Mytilus edulis: one gene and its partner. The protein of the gene in region 1 purifies or fractionates together with the protein of each later gene. This does not show direct contact. Links are inferred from orthologs where the notes say so. Each region holds a gene or a part of one and is shown on either strand. Other genes may lie near its edges. The genes, in order: leucine-zipper-like transcriptional regulator 1 and ras-like protein rasD.

Region 1 (12,557 bases):
CGATTCATCTGAAAATTTCAGGGCAGATAGATCTTGACCTGATAAACATAATTACCCCAGGTCAGATTTCCTCTAAATGCTTTGGTTTTTGAGTTATAAGCCAAAAACTGCATTTTACCCCTATGTTCTATTTTTAGCCGTGGCGGCCATCTTGGTTGGTTGACCGGGTCACGCCACACATTTTTTAAACTAGATACCCCAATGATGATTGTGGCCAAGTTTGGTTCAATTTGGCCCAGTAGTTACAGAGGAGAAGATTTTTGTAAAAGTTAACGACGACGGACGACGACGGACGACAGACGACGGACGACGACGACGGACGCCGGACGCAAAGTGATGGGAAAAGCTCACTTGGCCCTTCGGGCCAGGTGAGCTAAAAAACATATGGTATTTTTTGTTAATTACTTTACTTAACAAACATAAAAATGCATCTTTGATTGCATGCTTGCTGTCACCTTGATGATTGACCGCCATACTTTTTTTCATGCATCACATGATCCCTAACTGCAATTGGTAACAGGTAAATCATTTTTATTCAAGGACAGACTTTTACCAATACCACATCTTTTGCTGATGTGTGTTGTTAATATGTTAAAGTGTTTCATGAGTAACATTGATTAAATTATTGTTTGTCCAGTGGCAAATATTACATGCATGTATAAGCAAGAACAAATGATCAATAAATATAATAAATAAAGGAAGTGAAGACTAGTAGATGTTGTTGTCTTTTTATAGTTTGTAATTAACCCAATAGATAAGGTTCTATAAGCATGATAAGTATGGGTTTGGGTAGACAGGGGAACTAGAGGCTCTAAAGAGCCTGTGTCGCTCACCTTGGTCTATGTGCATATTAAACAAAGGACACAAATGGATTCATGACAAAATTGTATTTTGGTGATGGTGATGTGTTTGAAGTTCTTACTTTACTGAACATTCTTGCTTCTTACAATTATATCTATAATGAACTTTGCCCATTAGTAACAGAGAAAAATATTTGGTAAAAATTTACATAAATTTACCAAATTAATGAAAATTGTTAAAAATTGACTATAAAGGGCAATAACTCCTTAAGGGGTCAATTGACCATTTAGGTCATGTGGACTTATTTGTAGATCTTACTTTGATGAACATTATTGCTGTTTACAGTTTATCGCTATCTATAATAGTATTCAAGATAATAACCAAAAACAGCAAAATTTCTTTAAAAATTACCAATTGGAGGGCAGCAACCCAACAACCGGTTGTCCAATTCATTTGAATATTTCAGGGCAGATATATATTGACTTGATTAACAATTTAACTCCTTGTCAGATTTCCTCTAAATAATTTGGGTTTCAGAGTTGTAAGCAAAAAACTACATTTTACCCCTGTTCTATTTTTAGCCGTGGTGGCCATCTTGGTTGGATGGCCAGGTCATCGGACACATTTTTCAAACAAGGTACCTCAAAGATGATTGTGGCCAAGTTTGAATTAATTTGGCCCAGTAGTTTCACAGGAGAAGATTTTTGTAAAAGATAACTAAGATTTACGAAAAATGGTTAAAAATTGACTATAAAGGGCAATAACTCCTAAAGGGGTCAACTGACCATTTCGGTCATGTTGACTTATTTGTAAATCTTATTTTGATGAACATTATTGCTGTTTACAGTTTATCTCTATCTATAATAATATTCAAGATAATAACCAAAAACGGCAAAAATTTCCTCAAAATTACCAATTCAGGGGCAGCAACCCAACAACAGGTTGACCGATTCATCTGAAAATTTCAGGGCAAATAGATCTTGACCTGATAAACATTTTTACTCCATGTCAGATTTCCTCTAAATGTTTTGGTTTTTGAGTTATAAGCCAAAAACTGCATTTTACCCCTATGTTCTATTTTTAGCCGTGGCGGCCATCTTGGTTGGTTGACCGGGTCACGCCACACATTTTTTAAACTAGATACCCCAAAGATGATTGTGGCCAACTTTGGATTAATTTGACCCATTAGTTTCAGAGGAGAAGATTTTTGTAAAAGATTACTTAGATTTATGAAAAATGGTTAAAAATTGACTATAAAGGGCAATAACTCCTTAAGGGGTCAACTGACCATTTTGGTCATGTTGACTTATTTGTAAATCTAACTTTGCTGAACATTATTGCTTATACAGTTTATCTCTATCTATAATAATATTCAAGATAATAACCAAAAACGGCAAAAATTTCCTCAAAATTACCAATTCAGGGGCAGCAACCCAACAACGGGTTGACCGATTCATCTGAAAATTTCAGGGCAAATAGATCTTGACCTGATAAACATTTTTACTCCATGTCAGATTTCCTCTAAATGTTTTGGTTTTTGAGTTATAAGCCAAAAACTGCATTTTACCCCTATGTTCTATTTTTAGCCGTGGCGGCCATCTTGGTTGGTTGACCGGGTCACGCCACACATTTTTTAAACTAGATACCCCAAAGATGATTGTGGCCAACTTTGGATTAATTTGACCCATTAGTTTCAGAGGAGAAGATTTTTGTAAAAGATTACTTAGATTTATGAAAAATGGTTAAAAATTGACTATAAAGGGCAATAACTCCTTAAGGGGTCAACTGACCATTTTGGTCATGTTGACTTATTTGTAAATCTAACTTTGCTGAACATTATTGCTTATACAGTTTATCTCTATCTATAATAATATTCAAGATAATAACCAAAAACGGCAAAAATTTCCTCAAAATTACCAATTCAGGGGCAGCAACCCAACAACAGGTTGACCGATTCATCTGAAAATTTCAGGGCAGATAGATCTTGACCTGATAAACATTTTCACCCCATCAGATTTCCTCTAAATGCTTTGGTTTTTGAGTAATAAGCCAAAAACTGCATTTTACCCCTATGTTCTATTTTTAGCCGTGGCGGCCATCTTGGTTGGTTGACCGGGTCACGCCACACATTTTTTAAACTAGATACCCCAAAGATGATTGTGGCCAAGTTTGGAATAATTTGGCCCAGTAGTTTCAGAGGAGAAGATTTTTGTAAAAGATTACTTATATTTATGAAAAATGGTTAAAAATTGACTATAAAGGGCAATAACTCCTAAAGGGGTCAACTGACCATTTCGGTCATGTTGACTTATTTGTAAATCTAACTTTGCCGAACATTATTGCTGTTTACAGTTTATCTCTATCTATAATAATATTCAAGATAATAACCCAAAACAGCAAAATTTCCTCAAAATGACCAATTCAGGGGCAGCAACCCAACAACGGGTTGACCGATTCATCTGAAAATTTCAGGGCAGATAGATCTTGACCTGATAAACATATTTACCCCCATGTCAGATTTCCTCTAGATGCTTTGGTTTTTGAGTTATAAGCCAAAAACTGCATTTTACCCCTATGTTCTATTTTTAGCCGTGGCGGCCATCTTGGTTGGTTGACCGGGTCACGCCACACATTTTTTAAACTAGATACCCCAATGATGATTGTGGCCAAGTTTGGTTCAATTTGGCCCAGCAGTTTCAGAGGAGAAGATTTTTGTAAAAGTTAACGACGACGGACGATGGACGACGGACGACGACGGACGCCGGACGCAAAGTGATGGGAAAAGCTCACTTGGCCCTTCGGGCCAGGTGAGCTAAAAAGGCAGTGAAATTGGACAGCCACTGGGAATTTATTCACTAGAAGGATTGAAACATACCTGATGATTTCAAGACAATTTTGGTAGTTTCTGGATGGTATACAAATAGCATTGGCAAAAAGGGTCCTAACCAACCACGAGACACTTTTGGAAATAATCCAGTCTGTTCTCTCTGGAACTTGAGCCCTTCATCGTTAATACCTGGGAACTATAAATAGATAGTAAATTTAGTAATATTTACCCGAAGATTTTAGAACTAATTTAGTTGTATCAGGATGATATATACAGATCAGTGGAATAAATGGTCCAAGCCAAAATCTAGATGCCCATGGAAATTCTGCCACCCATTCTTTAGTCCACTGCAAACCTGCCTCGTTCGGACCTGGATACTAAAATATGATAATTTAAGCTCAATAGAATATATATGTGCATGTACTAAATGTTTGTACGACATACATGTAGTTGAATCAAATAATTATTCAGGCACATGTTCAGTTGAATATGGGACAATTAACTATAAACTGAAAATTTGGACTATCATTGGAAAGAAAAAAAAAAGACTTCAGATGATTTTAACATGTTCATGAGAATCATGTTTACACTAGCAATTTTAATCATCCATATTGTAAGTTTGTTTTTCATCAATTGGTCTAAAGTCCAGTTGCAAATATTTCATGCATTATTGAATGAGAACATGTTGATAAAATATGAGATGTGCTAGGCTGACACACATGTCATGAACAAGATTATTATCATACTAGTTTACAAGGTTTAAAATTCACCGTTACAGCTGGAAGGAAGACATATCACTCTACTAGGACAAATATAGAATTTTGACTCGACGACCAAAAAGACTTGCTATTAATCATTGATGCCAAATGCTGGTCAAAAGAGAAGAAAATACTTAGTTTCAAGTCTTTGATCTAATCATGCTAATCAGGTAATGGATCAAACCAAAATCTCACAGTAAACCAGACAGACAATACATTGGCATGTTGATGTGTTATCCTATGAGGTACAATGTATACAAATGTTTGGTAAGAAGTATTTCCAGGGTGTACTTTTTTAGTACATGTACCTTTAGCATATTTAGTGTTGGTTTGTTCATCTTATTCATCTTTCAAATTTACCAGTAAATTGATTAATGAAGAGGTTGGAGATTGCTGTTTTAGAAAAACATCTCTCTATTTAAGAAAGATATACATGATATACATTGATATATGATTATCTCTGTTGAATTCATTTATAATCTTTCATCAATATTCTTAAGAACAATATGTTGCCCATGAAATAATTTTTGTTCAACTTTCTCTGAAGATTTTACTGATATTTCTTTAATTTTGTGGTTTTGTAGGTAATTTTTAATAATTTAAGAGGTAATGGTGTGACAAAAAAACATCCTCATAAAATTAAATCCCATATTCCACTTAAGAGTATACGATACAGTTTTGATCAAATATTGAAATTTTGCTGAAAATTTGCATATCAGCTATTTTTTGCCTGATTAAATCAAATATGTAATAAAAAATAAACCTGAAGTTCATGTGCTACTTTTTGAGTAAAATGAGGTCTAAATTTTATATATTTGCTCAAAAGGATTTGTGAACGTATTTTTCCTTTGACAGAAATACATAACTTTTTTTGTTTTAAAAGATAAACACAAGCTGTTTTTTGTCAAATTATCTTATATAAACATCCTTTAAATTTGTGCATTTTTTTTTTTTAAGTCACTCATATTTATCAAATGTTCACAAATGTAGAAAAAAACATCATTTTTTTATGTATATTTATCAAATTTAAAATAATTGCACTATCGACGAAAATTGGCACACCCAATCTTCTTACGTAATCAAACCAAATGGCATTTTAAAAAAGAGGGGTCCATGCGTAACTCGTTTTCAAGTTAAATAAGTTTGAATGATAAAAATCAGTCAAAAACAGAATCTTTTCCCGATAAGTCATAGTTTGACGTCGCAAAAATAACAATTTACATTACCTCCCCTGTAACTGAATCGTATGCCCTTAAATAATGTGTCCATTCCCACATCAAGATATAAATAAATTCTAAATTCTGTACGATTTAAATTGCTATTCCAGAATTCTTGCAAAATAAAATGGCTCAATTCCCATGTCTTTACAAAGGTCCTTCATTTGTTACGCAGCGGAGGTAACTGCATGACGCCTAGTCCAAATAATTATGACGTCTTGAAAGGCTATTATAATTTTTTCTTTGACGCAAGGCGTCAAAGAAAAAATTATAATAGCTAGCCTTTCAAGACGTCATAATTATTTGGACTACATGACGCCCCTCTGCCTAGCATGCCTAGTGTAAAAATGCTAGGAATAAGTATAAATTAATGTATAGATATAGGTATCTGATCAGAAAAATCATTGCAATGGCAAATTTTCATCAAGTTTATTACTACTTAATAAGTTACAAACTTCTTTCAGGTTTCCCCAAATCAAATGAGCCGGTCTTCCTGGAAAACTTTCTATCATTTTGTTTCTTTTTGATGTCCACAAAAACCATTCTGAAAACTTAGTAGCCAAGTAGTAAATAGAAAACAAAATGACGGATGACACTATCAACGTGAAAACTATCGCCATTTTGACTGTCAATTAATAGTTTGGGTCATCAATCCATTTCTAATCTGCTATCAACAGTGATCAAAAAGTAAACAAACAGCACATGAGTGCTTTCGGATAGCTCAGGAACGAGGAGTTCCGATCAACACTTCCGGTCATTTTGTAAACACATGAAAGAATAAAAATTAGGGCCTCGAAAACCAGAAAATGCCGTTAAAATGTAGATGAATTGATAAAAAACGAGAAGACAAATGGAATTTATGGTATGAGATCAGTAAATGATAACAGACGGTACACGTTTTTTTTTTCAGTTCAATAAATAATTTTCAAACAGGAAAAAGTTCTAAAAAGAGACAAAATGCACACAAAACATGGATTTCTACTGTTTTAGTCACTTCGACTCATAGTCAAATCGGCACCAGTTATAGTCAATTCTGCACTTAGTCAAATTGGGACCTGTAGTAGTATTTCTGTTGTGTACAGGGAGTGGTTCTGGATACAGTGTATGGGGTACTTCAAATTAAACTCCAGACAGAAAAACGATTTACAATCATATATATAAAGAAAGTAAATATGTATTCAATACAATTATCAATATTTAATATGAGTGTAACGGAGGGGTTTGGTGACGACACCTCCCGGGACGTGTAGTGGCCTGTACTTTGCCCCTATTCGACCAGCGTGATACCTGATATCAGATAATGGCTGAACAGCAGACAAAAAATCAAATGAAACTATAGTTTATTCACAAATGTACAATAATACATAATTTCATGCTTGCATCACAGCTGAAGATTGACCAATCAGATAATTAGATTGTGTTTATCTATTTGAATATAGGAGTTGAAGCGGTGGCAAATCCTCGGGTTTTACCATATATAGGTACACAAACTTAAAACTCAATTTAATTTTTGTTGAATCATTAAAATTAAATTTAAGATCGTTTTTTCAAATCTCCTTATCATATTAGACATGTGTTTTAAAAATCTTTGTGATATCTTTTACCATTTGGTTTTAAATTGGAACTAAAAATTGTTTTTTCCCATAGAGTTTGAGGTAAAATTCAGAGAATTTCACCTCCTAGAAATTAAAAGTGCCAGGATGTTCGAAAATATGTATTGCATGTATTAAACAAAGTCAATGGAGTTCAAAAATAGAGTAATATCAAATGTAAAATGAAAATAAAGTGTTCCGAGAGTTAGTCTTAAACGTAAATTAAAATAGCTTCGTGTTGTGTATTTAAAGTAGTGAAATTGCACCAAAAAGGGGTGATTAACTCTGGCGAACTGCACTGACGAGGTGACTAACTCTAGACTCAAGTAGACTGATACAGTCCGTCGAGTATTTGGAGGCCTGTGTAAGGCAGACTCCGACTGAATATCAAATGATATTCTAAACTTGTCATTAATCAGGCTAACTTTAACAGAAAAGGTACTGAAGAAAAGTTGAATAAATATATTCTTAAAACATTATAAAAACATCAAAAGTTAAATACTAAAACAGTAGAATTAACATTCTTTACTTTTATCATACTATTTTTAAATCAAATTTAACTTAAAATAAACATTTAAATACTAAATAATTAATCTGTCCAAATTAAGGGAATTAATCAGGCACATCAACATGATCAAAGCACATCTATTACAATGAGGCAGGCATAACCTGTGAATGGGGACAAAGTCTGTATACATTATTTTTTTTATTCAAACATATTGATAAAAGAAACGGAAATACTGAAACATTCCCGATTTTGGTTCTGTTGTTAGGGATTTAGCTGTGACGTTCTTTAAGTTATGACATCATATTCAAAGTAGACAAAAGAAACGCTTTCATCAAGTAACGTTTTTTTCATATCAAACAATTATTAAAAATGAATTTGTATTGAGTTCCAATCTTATATTTTACTAGACCATGTAGACTGATAAATATATATTTTATTCAAAGTCTCATGCAAACAAGAAAAAAAAAGTTAATGATTTTATAGCTATAAATACGTTACCATCATAAATTCTGAGTGTAACCCCAATTGCGTCATAGGTCAGATGGAAAATCCCAACTAAAAATAAACATACTCTCACTGGTCCGGACATATACCCCTGTTTGAAATGGTTTGCCCATATTCTTCCATTCAATTTCCATCTGCGACATCGGTCACACGTGCACATCAAGTTTTACAGATTCAACAGAGAAGTGTTTAGTTTTTTGAATAGCTTAATTGCTTTTCATATATATTGTGTATTTTATTGGAAATATATTCCCTTGTTTTGTTTAAATTTCTAAACAAATTATTTGTGTTTTTGACTAAAGTAAAATTTATTATGGACTTTAATTTGAATAGTCCGTATGTAAGTATTCCTGGTTCGGACTATCTCTTAGATGGGTCACTACCTTTAAGTCCCCCCCAAACTACCAGTACATTGACCGGAGTTTCGACAACGGTGTCTGGTAATGCTACCTATCCGACCCTTTCACAAGGTTCGGCCATGCATTTTGGGGGGGTACCTACGTCAACTTCGGTGACTCATACTTTATCTAGGTCTGTTAATTCAGCGGGTACTATTAGTTCTGTCCCAGGTACAGCTATGGGCTTGAACTTGCCAGGTTCTAGACCCCCATTATCCTATTGTGGGTATATGCTTCCCAACACGGGCACACAACCTTTACCCTCATGGTCTCAGCCACCTTGGCCACAGTCTTACCCTTATGGTGGGTTTATGCCAAACCAACCTGGTTTTTGGCCTTATAGGGACAATTTCTATGGTCCCCCTTCTGGGGTAGCTACTGCACCACCTTTAGCTCCTGCTCTACCCGTAGCAGTATCTTTGACTTCTGCAGTAGCTCCTTCTACCACCGTACCTGACTCTCAAGCTTCTAGTTCTTCTCATGGTACTCAGGTTTCTGATCATGCATCACCTTTGGATGGTTTACAGAAGTTACTTTTAGACTTTGGTGAGTCTTTCAAGGCTGAATTTAGTACTCTATCCAGTCGTATGACTCTACTGGAAAATAGAGTTTCTTCTCATCAACCTTCTCCAGCTAAGTCTGTAGAATGTGATGAGAGTGAGGATGACGAGCTTTCTGTTTCCCCTGGGAGTCATGAAAGGGCTTTCCTCACTGATGAGGATGTTGAAAGTTCTTCTTCTCCCAAGGTATCGAAGACGGCCCCTGAGCCTTCTTCTAAGTCAGCTCAACAACCTCCCACCAAGGAGACTGAGGATCCTCCTTCCTTGAAGGATCTAAGGGATAAGGTGTATACCTTGATGAGGGATGAAGCACATATCCCTTTTCTCTCTCCTTCCAAGCCGAAGAAACCTTCTTCAACTTTTGAAGCTTCCTGTGGTATTTCTCAGGATACTGTGACTTCTCACAATTCTTTTCCTGAATCTGGCCATATGACTTTTGCTTTACAATTTATTAATGAAGGTATCGCTAATTCTGCTAGTGAAAAGGTTACTAATAACAATATCTCAGGATTTGGAATGTCATCCTTTTCTGATCAGGTTAAGTACAAGGATTTTGATATCTTTGATTCTTCACTGGGTAGACTTGTTCCCAGTTGTGACAAATCTATGTCATCTTTATTGGGAAAAAAGCCAGTAGATGGTCTTCGTCTCACTCAACCTGTTTGGTCAAAGACTGAGAATCTCCTTCGTAGTGCTTCTCAAGTTCTTGGCACAGCCGAACATTTTCTAGCTGCAACCGGACATTTGCTTAACAGCGAAGATTCGGTTGTTCCAGCAGAAGTACGATCCTTCTTACTTCAACTGGATAAAGCTTTAGGTTCATCTCAGTTGCTTTTAATGGGTTCTATTGCTAATTGCACCCTATCTAAAAGAGCAGAGTTTCTTGAAAACATTTCTATCGCTGAGCCTTTGAAAGATTCTTTACTGAAATCTCCACTCTCTGACAAGATGTTTGGTTTACCCTTACAGCGGGTTCAAGAGGAACTCAGCAAAAACCCTCCTCCAGTCAAAGTTAGTGTACAAGTTACTAATGGCAAGAGGTCGGTTAATGCTACCTCTAGTTCTAATAGTACTTCTGCTTCAGGTGGTCCTCCTTCTTCTGCTAAGAAAAGGAAGAATAACTACGGCAAACCGCAGAACAAACCCAATAACTCAGGAAAAAGCTCAGGTAAGCCTTCTGGTGGTTTTAAGGGTTCCAAGAAACCTGGGTCTAGTACCTAGGTTCTTGCCCCCTCGTACGTTATTGACAGCTTCCCCAGGGGAAAATTTACAACAAGTTCCTCAAAAATCAATACCAGTAGGGGGGAGGTTAAGTTTTTTCCTAAATCAGTGGAAGAAAATTACCTCAGACTGTTATGTGCTGTCAATAATTCGAGGGGGATTAACACTTCAGTTCAAGAACCCACCTCCTCTATCTGCAGTTCCAATAAGTTTGTCTCATACACAAGACCCAGTCAAGTGTCAACTTCTATCAGTAGAAGTGGACACTATGTTACAAAAAGCTGCAATAGAGGAGGTGTCGATCTTAACTCTGTCTCCGGGATTTTATTCCCGTCTTTTTCTGGTTCCAAAGAAGACTGGAGGAATGAGGCCAGTCATAGACCTATCTATTCTGAACAAATTTCTTATTGTTCCCCCCTTCAAAATGGAAACAAACAGATTTATCAGGGTTTCAATCCTTCCAGGAATGTGGACTACTTCTCTGGATCTTTCAGACGCGTATTTCCACATTCCCATTTCCAAAACTTACAGGAAATACCTTCGCTTCGTTTGGAACAACAAAGTTTTCCAGTTCAAGGCTCTCCCTTTTGGCCTGTCTACAGCCCCTTTGGCTTTTACCAAAATCATGCAGGCAGCTATAGCTCACCTACATTCCCTGTCTATTCAGATTCATTCCTATCTGGACGATTCCCTTCTCAAGGAATTTTGCCCAATCAAATTGAGGGTTCAGACAGACTTGGTCATCAATTGTTTTCTGTCCCTAGGCTTTCTTATCTCTTGGAAAAAGTCAGAGATAATTCCGTCTCAAGACTTTGTTTTCCTGGGAGAACATTTCCTTACCAGTGTAGGCCTAGTCCTCCCACCAGAGGAGAAATTTACAAAACTATGTCAGAAAATACATTTATTCCTGACGGTTCAATCAGTCACAGCACGTCAATTCTTGCAACTTCTGGGTCTATTGAACTCTCTGGCAGATGTAATTCCATTGGGACGACTTCACATTCGTCCGCTTCAGTTTTATCTGCACAAGTTATGGATTGCAGCTTCACAAGAATGGGAAGCATTGATTCCAATCACTCAGCCTTTATTTCCACACCTTCAATGGTGGTTAGTACGGGAAAATGTAATGAGGGGCCTATGTCTGTCCCCTCAAGTTCCCAGTCTAACATTATTCACAGATGCCTCCACCCTCGTTTGGGGAGCATATCTGGAGGGGCTTACAATCTCGGGAGTCTGGAGTCCAGATCTTTTGGAAGAGCATATCAATGTATTGGAAATGAAAGCAGTTCTGTTTGCACTGAATCATTTCCAAATGTCTCTAAAGAATCAGTCTGTCATTCTGGCCACGGACAACACAACAGTTGTAGCTTATCTCAAGAATCAGGGAGGAACTCATTCACCTTCTCTTTATCAGATAGCCAGAGACATTCTCCTTCTGTGTTTTCAACTCCAGGTTCATCTAGTGGTGAGACATATTGCGGGGCACCTCAATATTCTAGCCGACACTCTATCAAGATCCCTTGCTCCAGTAAACACGGAGTGGGAACTACTTCAAGTAGTTTTCAAAGCTGTGACTCTTCATTGGGGGTCACCTCAGATAGATCTGTTTGCGACCAGTCTCAATCACAAACTTCTAACATTTGTGTCTCCGGTTCCAGATCCAAAATCTTTTGCGGTAGACGCAATGAGCCTATCTTGGAAAGGAATGTTCGGGTACGCCTTCCCTCCTTTCAGGTTTCTCTCCCCAGTACTTCAGAAAATAGCAGGGGAAAATTGCAAGATCATAGTTATTGCTCCAGCATGGCCAAAACAGTCTTGGTTTCCAGACCTTCTGCGCCTATCATGTGCTTGTCCTCTAGTTCTACCTCTGAGACCAGACCTTCTGTCTCAAATCAAGGGCAAGGTTCTTTATCAAAATCCAGAAAAACTTCATCTACACGCCTGGCTTCTCTCAGGGTTAGCCTCAGAAAGAGAGGTTTTTCTGAAGGAGCAACCAAGCATCTCACAAAGTCTGTCAGAGACTCCACTAGCATTGTCTATGATGCAAAATGGTCAATCTTCTCAGATTGGTGTAGTGAGCGGGAAATTGATCCTTTCCAAGTCACTGTACAACAATTAGCAGACTTTCTAGTTTTTCTTTTTGAATCCAAAGGATTATGTCCCTCTACTAT
Region 2 (11,760 bases), on another chromosome or scaffold:
ACTTTCACGGGCCACTGAACATAGAAAATGATAATGCGGATGGGGCATCTGACTACTATGGACACATTCTTGTTATTAAGGGAAAAAGTGCTGATCATACATAAGCATATATACTTTTTAACCCTTATATCTTTAGTGATTTTTATTTGTTTTTTTTCTTGATAATATTTATATTTGATTTGGAGAGTACACCGTCAAGCAATTTGTATTCTTTTCGATAGGGACGAACTATCCTATTATTCGTGTTGCTCGGTTAGTTTTATATGTTGTGTTTTGTGTACTATTGTTGGTCTGTTGGTCGTTTTCTTTTTCAGCCATGGCGTTTTCAGTTTATTTTCTATTTATGAGTTTGAATGTCTCCTTGGTATTGTTCGCCTCTCTATTTTGAAGATTTCTTTCATTACTGCTTCACGTCATAAATAGTTACGGGCAACAATTGTTCGCGGGTATTTGCAACACTACCTACATGCAGATGTTTTACGAAAAAGTCTCTGCTAACAATCCAGAGTTTCCTGAATATACAAATGAAATACATAAAATTGAGAATGGAAATGGGGAATGTGTCAAAGAGACAACAACCCGACCAAATAAAAAAACAACAGCAGAGAGTCAACAACAGGTCTTCAATGTAGCGAGAAATTCCCGCACCCGGAAGCGTCCTTCAGCTGGCCCCTAAACAAATATAAACTAGTCCAGTGATAATGAACGCCATACTAATTTCCAAATTGTACACAAGAAACTAAAATTAAAATAACACAAGACTAACAAAGGCCAGAGGCTCCTGACTTGGGACAGGCGCAAAAATGCGGCGGGGTTAAACATGTTTGTGAGATCTCAACCCTCCCCCTATACCTCTAACAAATGTAGAAAAGTAAACGCATAACAATACGCACATTAAAATTCAGTTCAAGAGAAGTCCGAGTCTGATGTCAGAAGATGTAACCAAAGAAAATAAACAAAATGACAATAATACATAAATAACAACAGACTACGTAGCAGTTAACTGACATGCCAGCTCCAGACTTCAATTAAACTGACTGAAAGATTATGATTTCATCATATGAACATCAGGCACAATCCTTAGGGGTTTAGTATCATACCATCATAACATATATGAGAAGAACATAACCCGTGTCATGCCAGCAACTGTTTTTAGAATAAATGTGTTTAGTTCCGATGCAAAGACCTTATCAGTGACTCAATATTAACGCCAAAATATGCAATCTTTAATGACTTGACAACAGTATCGTAATTATATCCCTTCTTAATAAGTCTATTCAAAGGTTTTGTAAGTTTCTGAGGTGAATACTGACACCTTTGTGCTTTATAAAGAATATTTCCATAAAAAATTGGATGTGAAATACCTGAACGTATTAGAAGTCTGCATGTTGAGCTATATTTACGAATGATGTCTTTATACCGATGATCTATATCTCATTTAAGTCCAAGGTCACTGTGACATTGATTGTTGTAATCAGTTTTGTATAACTTAATATTGATAATTTTATCATTTTAATCTGCATATGGTGACAACGGGAATTTATTTTCCCAATCTGTCAACAGTTACTGTTGCCATGATGGATACGTTCCATTTTCTCCTTATTTGGCGTACGTTTCTCTCCAAACTGCCACCATCACTGCCTCCAATATCCAACAACAATCATCATAGCCTCCCTGTCATGCCACATGTGTAGCAGTATCTGCTTGCTCTTCCGGAGCACCTGATATCCCCCCCCCCCCCCCAGTTTTTGATGGGGTCGTGTTGCTTAGCCTTTAGTTTTCTATGTTGTGTCTTCTGTACTATTATTTGTCTATTTGTCTTTTTTTTAGCCATGGCGTTGTCAGTTTATTTTCTACCTATGAGTTTGACTCTTACTCTCCCTGGTATCGTCCCTCTTTTGTAGTTAAATAAGAGCCAATTTCCAATCCGATTTTGTGTGATTTTTAATGACTTGATTTGACTTATTAATCTATTCTATAGGAAATACACGACGTACGGGTTTTGCATGTTGAACAGGATCTGTTTTTCCCTTCTGTATCACATGAAATCACCTCCGGGTTTTGTTTGGTGGTTAACGTTCTCAGACTTTATTTTTCTATGTTGTGTTGTGTTTTGTTAACAAAATATCTTCTAAATTGCAACTCAAACGACTGAACCCACTTTAAGCAAAAACAGAAATAATATAAGTGCCATTGCACCGCGGAAACCCAGATATTAAAGAAATATCATATTCATACTGACATAACAAATGACAACTCTTTTGGTCATGTAGTAGACAAACCAACAAGAGGTGAAAGAATACTATAGATCTTATCTTAAAAATTGCCCCACACATAAAAAATAAATTGGAGGTAATGCCACCTATTGGGACATCGTAATCACTGAATGTACAATATCACTAAAAAAAAATAAAAGAGCAACAAGAAAAGTCCACCAATTCATAAAGCAAACTGGGAAAGCATTAAGACATCCAACTACTAAAAGAAACGATCAAAATAATTTATGGTAAAAGTAAAACCAATGAGTTTATAAACACCATCAGTGCTTATAGGTCAAAAACAAATAACATAAAAAAAAAAGAAATTGCCTTGGATCACAGACCAACTAAGAATCAAATTTAAAAGAAAACAAAACGTCTGCATTAAGAATTAAAGAAAAATCAACAACTGCAAATAAATACACACACTTCATGTATGAAAAAACATTGCAGACAGACATGCGCTCGGCGAGCAATTCCCAAAAGCATTCACCACTGACAACCCAATACTAGTATATATCAACACATGCACAAATGGATAAAACTTTAATATCAGAAAAGAGCGTCAACAAATTCCTATACAACATTAACCCAAATAAACTGAGCCATTGGCATTGGTGAACTTAGTATGTGGATATATTTTAAAGGATTATCACAATCATCTTTCAAAGTCAATCAACACACATAGAATAACTACAGACTGAAAACATAAAAATAAGTTATTCCTGTATTAAAAACGAACACAATACCATAAAATACAGGTCAATATATACTTTGCAAAATAGTGGAGTAAAGTCAAACATGAAACACCTTAAGAGAAAAAAAAACCAATATATTATACGACCTTCAACGCGGCTTTTGATCTCAACTCTCACGTGAGACACAATTATATCTTTTATACACGATCTTGCATGGAGAAGACAACAATGACAACATATTATAACTAATGTCTGTGATGGACTTTTCCAAAGCTTTTGACAAAATCCCTAACAAAAGGTAACTGCATAATTACGATTTTACGCCATAGACCATAATACCTTGGAAAGGGTTTGTGATTGTTTTTACATCAACGTACAAAGACAGACACGCAAGATGAAGAACGATCAGAGAAAAAAGGGCAAGATCTTTAATAACACAGGGCACTTTCCTTGGCACAATTTAAATCCTTATCTTCATTAACGACTTCCCAGAATACTTACAACATAGCACTTTAAAGTTATTTGCCGATGACAGCAACACCTATAGAAACATCAAAACAAATAGTATGCATCCAAATTACAACAGGACTTATAGATGCAATAGCAAAATGGGAAAACACTCAGTTAATATCGTTCCATCCAGATAAATTATCCTCCATTCAGTTTCTAAGAATTACATACAAAAAAAAGAGAAACAAGTCAACAATGACTACATTCTTCATGGTCACTTTTTTCAAACTGATACTAGTATAAAAATATTATGCATAACCATTCAATCAGATCTTAAATGGAAAAAAAACCATGTAGATCATGATATAAGCAAATGCAAAACGACAGCTAAATTTTCAAAAAACGTAACATAAATGTATCTTCCAAAAAATAAACGAAAGGACATTCTAGTCGTCAGTTAGACCTGAAATGGAGTACAGCTCTTGTGCCTGGGCCATCACAGCACAACCAATTAAACCAATCAGATTGAGATGGTCTAACGAGGAGCTGCCAGCTACACATGGTAACATACCGCAATACCAGCTCGATCTGTCTCAAATATGCTTAAACATATACAATGACGGCATACACTAGTTTCCAAATCTGAGCAACATAAATTAAGAAGTTCTTTTTTATCTGAATAATGACAAATGAAGATTTACAGATTTTTTTTATACAGTTTTAATTTCCAGATGAGACACAAGTTAAGGTAAACAAATAGAGTTATCCCTCTTTGTACTGGTCCTCTCTCTCCTCAATTATATGTTTTTATCATGCTTTATCATTTTCAATCGAAAACAAACTCAATCAGTATGAATGTTAGATCAGGAACATATATATTATACTGTTCCTAGGTTAGATTGTGTGTGTTGTAAGTATGGATATTATATGAGCTTTGTGGTGTGTACTGATTTATATGGACCCTTTAAATCGGAATATAGACATTTGATTAGATCGAGGATTAGATACACTACAAATGAAACGAATACATGCAAGACTAGATGCTTTTTCTATGAATAATACACCAATATTTAGCAATATTTCATAACGATCTTCTAATCACATCAAACAGCAGAACAAATCACTTATGATAAAAAAAAATCATATTGGTTTTTACTGACCCCCAACCCTCTTAACTTAATTTGTGAAAAATTCATTAATCAAGAAGGGTTAGATCGAAATCAGTGTTAGTTTAAACATATTTATTTATAATGGATTGGGAAACAAGTTTTGCAACTAATATCCATCCCTTTCCACTTTGCGGGTGCCGGAATGCTGCCTTGTAGCAGCATTAGCCTACTCTTTTTCGAAATCTACAAGGGTGTCTTTAACGTGCAAGAGATATGGCTCTCTCTTAACACGGGTCAGTCATTTTCGTCTCCTTCCGACGGACTATCATTGTTTCCTCAAGACCATACTCGCAAATGGTGTCAAGGGAGAGCCGAAAATCCAGTCCCTGAACTTGATTTTCATCCCAGACGGGAATCGAACCAGGAAACTTTGTGTTAGTAGTCCGATGAATTAATCACTGCACCACGGCTCTTCATGTTGGATAAACTTTCCGATAAACAAAACTTGCAGCAATTTTAAGTTAAGTTTTTTATCCGACAATGATCTTTTGAGGTCTTACTGTTATAATCATTGATCATTTGTTCAACGGTTGACGATTTCAAAGAGCAGATTTTTATATTTGCTGTTTCACAAATTTTCTAAACACTGCATATATAAATATACACAGGATAACAATCGGATTATCCACAAAAAATATAAAAAAAAATAACTGAAATATATTTATTTCTTTCTGTTCAGTAATTTTACGTAATATTACTGAAAAAATACTTCTTTTTAATTGTACATAAGTCGCGGATGCAATGCCACGTAATAGTCAAAGTTGTGATTCAGTACGGAAATTTGAAGAAAAAGGCCGAAAGAATCATATAAATTTAGTGGCGAAATAAAGCATGTCTGGACCGAAATTACGTCAAACAAACTTTCAACCAATCACCGAACACGCACCTTAAGAAGATAAAAGTTACTATTTATAGATTGTATATTTGGGTATAAATATATTTAATAAGGAAACGGAGCATAACATAGAAAATGTAAACTATAAGGACAAGTAAAATGGAAATATGAATTCAAGTAATCACCACGGTGACAATTCTAAACCGAGGGAATATAAAATTGTCATTTTAGGCGATGGTGGAATCGGGAAAAGTGGTAAGGAACCAGATGACAAACTTTAAAACTAATTATCATTGTAAATGTAATTTCCCATGACAGTTGACACTGATTCACACGTGACACGGTTTGGAATGTGAAATATTTTAAATATTTTTCTGTGACCATTTTTTCAGCCTTTTGTTTATTTTTTAGTTTTCACAAATAAATGATGATTTAAGTCCACTACAAATTGGTGAAAAATTCTAACATTCTAATATCTGTTTGCAACTGGAACTAATTTGTATTAGATTTACAATATATATTGGTCCTAGTTTGCAAGAATTGCTGAATTACAGAGAAAACTATCCAAAAGTTTGGGTTAATTATGTCAAGAATTTGTATAGTAATACAAATAAATCCTTGATCATGTTAATTTACATTAAAAAAAGGTAGTCCAAATAATTATGAGGTCTGGCAAGGCTATTTTATTTTTTTTCTTGGACGCCTTCCTACAGCGTCCCAGAAAAAAATTAAAATAGCCTTGCCAGACGACATTATTATGTTGACTACAAAAAAGGCTGTTTCCACTTCTCTAAGGGAGCTATCATTTGATTTTTATGGGGGGATAGGATGAAATTTGAAAAAAATAGGCAGGACAGGAGTTTTGAGTAAAAAAAAAGGCAAGATGAGACACTTGCAAAAAATAAAGTCAGGACAACAATTTAGGTAAAAAAAAGTCAGGATAAACTAAAAAAAAAAGGCAGGACCAAACAGAGTGAAAAATAAAAAGGCAGGACAGAGATTACAGCTAAAAAAATGCAGGACAAAATTTTTCATCCTAGCCCCCCCATAAAAATCAAATGGTAGCTCCCTAAGGTAATTTTAATTTTACTGAGTTGGAAACCAGGCTAGCTTGTATAGAAAAAATAAATCCAAGTATATTAACTTTTTACACTCCTACATAGGCGTCTACTCCTGTATTTGGAAGACATAGAAAAAGAGTAGTCCTAGATGAATTCAAGTCACTTTGACACCTGGCAATACTGAATATCATTGTCATATTGGCACCTGGTATAGCATGTACATGTACATTTATAGTAAAACTGTTATATTTCATATTTTTTTAAAGATATTTTCGCCCATTCAATATGTTAACCTTCAATGTATTTGTCACCCATAATAAGTTCCAATGAAAACTGTTTCATAAACTATGCCAAAATACAAAATAATATAAATGACAGTGAACATTATATTATCAAGGATTGAACTTCAATTGCATGACCATTGTACATTGCTAGTAAACTACGAAATTGGTGCCAGCTTAATTTGTTGTCGAGCCTGCGATTTTTGTTGCAGAAAACTCTACATAGGGATAGTGATCCAGCGGTGGCGTTAGCTAACTTCTTTAAAGCTTAATATTTTATATTGGAAGACCAGGATGCTTCATACTTTGTATATATAGATGCCTCATGTTACATAGTTTCCGTCTGTAACATGTCCATTGTCCTTGACCTCATTTTCATGGTTCAGTGACTACATGTACTTGAAAAAAAAATTATGATTATTTTGTAAAGTTAATTTCTCTCTTATAATTACAAGTGATAGGATAACTATATTTGGTATGTGCATAAATGTACCTTGCAAAGTCTCCATGCCCTTCAGACAGTTTACACTTGACCTCAACTTCATTTCATGGATCATTGAACAAGGTTGAGTTTTGGTGATCAAGTCCATATCTCAGATACTATAAGCAATGTGTCTAGTATATATATTCGGTGTGGCATGGTTTATCTGACCTTGACTTTAATAACATGGTTCATTAGTCAATGTTTGTATGACTTGTTTAGTATTTATAACCTTGACCTCATTTTCTTGGATCATGTAAAGTTTATGTGAAAGTTGTAGTAAAGCTTTATATTTAGGACTATCAACATATTAGCAATGATAAGTAAAGAAAGCGAGACATTTCAGAGTGTGCTCTAGAGAATGCAAAAAGAAACCAACAATTTTTTAAAATTTAAATGACAATAATTTAATTTGTTATCCTAATCTGTGATAAAATGGCTTCTTTGTTTAATATAAGACTTTTCTGGGGCGTAGCTCCATATACGCTGTCACGCCATGACGTGCACATCGTGGGGTCTAAAAAAATAATTTACGCCGAAAATTACAAAAAAATATAAAATTTAACTTAAACAAGAAACGTAGACAACAATACAGTATAACTATTTTAATAACGTCACAATAATATTTCCGTATATATCAACCCTGACCAAAATACTTTTTAATTTATTTGTGAGAATTTTTTTTCTGGTACTCAAAGTAAAAAAGCAGCGTAAACATGAGCAGTTCAAAGCGTGACCAGCCGAAAGGGCAAACTTTAGACAATTTTTTAACCAAAATGCCTACTAACAGTACCAACGGTGATAGGCATGCAGAAACACAACTAGCAACAAATCAGGACAATATAGACTCTGAAACGTCCAAGGTTTACGATGAACCGGTAGCATAAGAGCCACATCAGTGTCAATGTCAAAGCCAGTACAAAAAAATCTGGGACCTTCTTTAATCCAGATATTTCTTTATTGAAAGATTCAAAATCATTAGGAAAAAATGTAAAGTTTAACAACTTTTGACTGACAAATGGAAAGATGTCCACACCTTCAAATTTCCGACAAGGTATAATCAATAAAAAAAAATGTAGTTCACGCCGTTGAACTAACAGGACTGCAGGGGTTGTAAATCCAATTTTGGCAAAAAATGACCAATTGACGTTTGTTTCATTTTTATCTCTCAACTTTGGATCCAACCCTGAACAATTTAACGAATTACAATAACCTTTATATGAGTTTGACTGTCCTTTTGGTATATTTCGCCCCTCTTTTATATGTAAATTACGATAATGGTAAATATTAATCTGAATTCCCTCTTTAAATCATTGTGTTGAAAGGCTACTTCATACTGTTCTGTTTTGACACCTTCCTGTCGAAATAAGGCCTCAATGCATTAAAAATAAAATAAAATAGCCTTTCAAGACCTCATCTGATTCCGCAGTACTAGTTGTTACTGAAATGTTGTGTTCCGAGCGAAATGATGATAATGAGTGTTTGGAACGAGCTATACCAAATCGCTCTAGATATAGCAGAGGCTTTTGATATAGTTGAAAATGTTCCTAGGCGGTGTTGAAGACAAACCTCGAGAGCTAGCCATCCAGCCGAAACACCTAAGGATTACTGGCGAATTTCTCTCTACTCCTCTATCCGTTTCTGGATCATATCGGATGACGGAACTTCATTCTCGACTTCTGAATTCAGAAAACCATTTTCATGCACAGTATCTTCTTCCGTGTGTATAGTCTGACAAATAAATAATGACCAAATTGTCACAATTCATCAGACATACCTGATAGATATATATCAGGTTGTCTTTAGAAGACTACAAGAGAGAGGTTGAACACTAGAGAGCTCGCTGTCGAATCCTACCTAGTGATAAAGTGCCAACATCACTGTGTCAAACGCTTGATATAGTTAACCCCGCATTGTATCTGTCTATTGATACAATACCTGTTGAGAAATCACAGATTACCTGCTTTGGGTTTTATGCACATCCACCGTGATTTTGAGGTCAATTTAGAATGGACGTTTTTGTTGCAGCTATAAATGCGTTGTTGCAGCTATAAATGCGAAGGGCAGATTTTTGAAAATTATTCAGGATGTTTCTAAATAAAAATGATCAAATACAGTCCTAATAATTTGCTATTCAAACCAATTTAGGCCCTCAGAACGCACCCTTTAGCGTCTAGCCAAAAAAACAAATCTTGGGGGGGGGGGGGGGGATTCCCCATAACGCCCCTGGTTGGCGTGCACTTCAAAAGGACCCAGCTTTTAACTTATTTTGATAATAAATTACAAAAACAAAAAATACCATGACTACATGATAATAGTTAAAACAACAAGTGGTTTATTGTTATAATTAAAACCATTTTAAATTCCCTATCAAACTAATATTATAAATAATATTAAGAATACTTCAACATGTTCATACAGCAATCATCTGATTTTTTTATTAACCTGTTACCTCTACAGTTGTACGTTTTGACAAAAGAAGATATTAAAAAAATAGAATAAATCAATGTTTCATCTTCCTGAATCCGGATCATTGATAAAAGTTTCCTTATTGACATACACCTAAAACAGCATATTAATTAAATCTTCTGTGTTACAAATAAAGCCTACTCAGATAGATAGATATACATCATCTGATCATATACACAATAAGTCATTCTGTAACTATACATATTTTATTTATCAAAAGCTCTTTGAACTGCAGCTACAAATGTACATGCATCAAATAAAAAAAACTTTGTATATCATCAGTCCTGATCACAAGTTTCTATTGCCTTGGTTGCACATTGTAAATACATCTGTTTCACAAACATTAACCATGCCTCCTTTTGGGAGATATATAATACCAATGTATTCATAGATATTTTGTCTAAGCTGCTTCCCAGATATGATCTCTTTGTTTCATCTACATGTATTCTAGCAGAGGCATAACTTGGGAATGTTACCAGTATAAATATACATAAATAGCAGTCATATTGAAATCTGTGGCAGACAAAAAATGAAAAGGACTCAGTACAGAATTTTAGTATAAGTTTAAACTCTTAAAATCTCTGGGCATATAAAATGTTTATCCATTAATATTCTAAGATATAATTTTTTACGAAGCTTTATAGTAAAAGTGGTGGAGTTTTAGTAGTATAAAAAGGAGTCACAACCTATACATCTAGCTTTTAGCTGTCTTAATGACATAATGTTTCTTTGACATTAATATTTATATTGATTATGTTCAATGTATGTAGAATTTAACGATTTGAATTCTAAACATTGAAAAAAAATTAAAATGTGTGTGATTCTACCATGCTTATCTTCATCTTCCCCAAACTATACAAAAGACGTTGATTGGCAAATGATTTTTTTTTTTCAGAAAAATTCAAACACCTTGTTGAGTATTATGCAAGATGTTTGATAAAAAATAATTTTGTTCTGCTTTCAGCTCTTGTGATACAGTTTGTATACCACAGATTTCTTGACTACCATGATCCAACGATAGGTAAATACATAGTATATTTTGCACACCAGCTGCCATCTTTTAAAAATTTCCATGGGTGATTTTAAGCTCAAGAGAAACAAATCCTCTTCTTATATTGTCTTGAGTGTTCTTAGATTATAAGTATATTGTTTGAATGATTATACATATGTTTTATATAATGTTTAAATAACCTTTTAGCTAATTTGGATGCCTTTTTTAAGGTGTTCAGTTTATATGATAATGAATTTCAAAATTCAAGTCAAGTTCAACACTTCTCATATGGATAATATTCCCCAAAAATTAGGAAAGTTGTCAGGTCTGATAAAGTGGATAAAAAAATAGATGTATTCATCATGTTTAAGTGAATAAAAAAATAGTCGTATTCATCATGTTTAAGTGAATAAAAAAATAGTTGTATTCATCATGTTTAAGTGAATATAAAAAAATAGTCGTATTCATCATGTTTAAGTGAATAAAAAAATAGTTGTATTCATCATGTTTATATAATTAGAAATCACAAATGTCTTATTTTCTCATCTTTATTGTAATTTGAATTTTACATGCTACATATGTAACAAGAAAAAAACAACAAATCTAACAAAAAAAGATAGTTCATGATGGTTTCTTACAGGAAATGTATCTTTAAACATTAAAATACCTAATTTACATGCTACATGTTTTTAGTCTAAAGTACTTGAAATAGAAATACATTGTAAGTGGAAACACATTTATTAAGGTCTAGTCTCATTGATCAATGTACAACAACCTTTTACTTCTGGAATAATGTTTTTGACCATTCTGTCAGTCCTACTCTTGTCATCACAACTCCTCTGAAGCCACAAAACAGAATTTCATGAAACTTTGTGGATAGCAAGGACATTCTATGTAGATGTGCATATCCACAGGAAATTATGATTCAACTTTTTTTCTAGGAGTTATGCCCCTTTGAACTTATTGACCTCAATAATATACTACTGCAACCGTTTGTCATCGTAACTCCTCTGAAACCACAGTACAGAATTTCATGAAACTGTGAAACATGTAGATGTGCATATCGA

What was found.
Region 2: the proteins of leucine-zipper-like transcriptional regulator 1 (region 1) and ras-like protein rasD purify together in Homo sapiens (affinity purification with mass spectrometry; 3 studies listed by BioGRID and IntAct, counting the BioPlex papers as one, with this or other methods). This does not show direct contact. The link is inferred for Mytilus edulis from reciprocal best matches to the Homo sapiens genes LZTR1 and RIT1.

The regions. Positions count from the first base shown.
Region 1 is NC_092349.1:70,501,874-70,514,430, reverse strand, and holds the start of leucine-zipper-like transcriptional regulator 1, read left to right. Parts: upstream 1-6,348; 5' UTR 6,349-6,465; exon of another isoform or gene 6,466-6,493; intron 6,494-12,557. Other genes in the region: cytochrome P450 4A25-like, read right to left, coding at 3,677-3,824, 6,059-6,223. UniProt on the Homo sapiens protein: Substrate-specific adapter of a BCR (BTB-CUL3-RBX1) E3 ubiquitin-protein ligase complex that mediates ubiquitination of Ras (K-Ras/KRAS, N-Ras/NRAS and H-Ras/HRAS).
Region 2 is NC_092347.1:47,981,723-47,993,482, forward strand, and holds the start of ras-like protein rasD, read left to right. Parts: upstream 1-5,449; 5' UTR 5,450-5,577; coding exon 5,578-5,665; intron 5,666-10,666; coding exon 10,667-10,723; intron 10,724-11,760.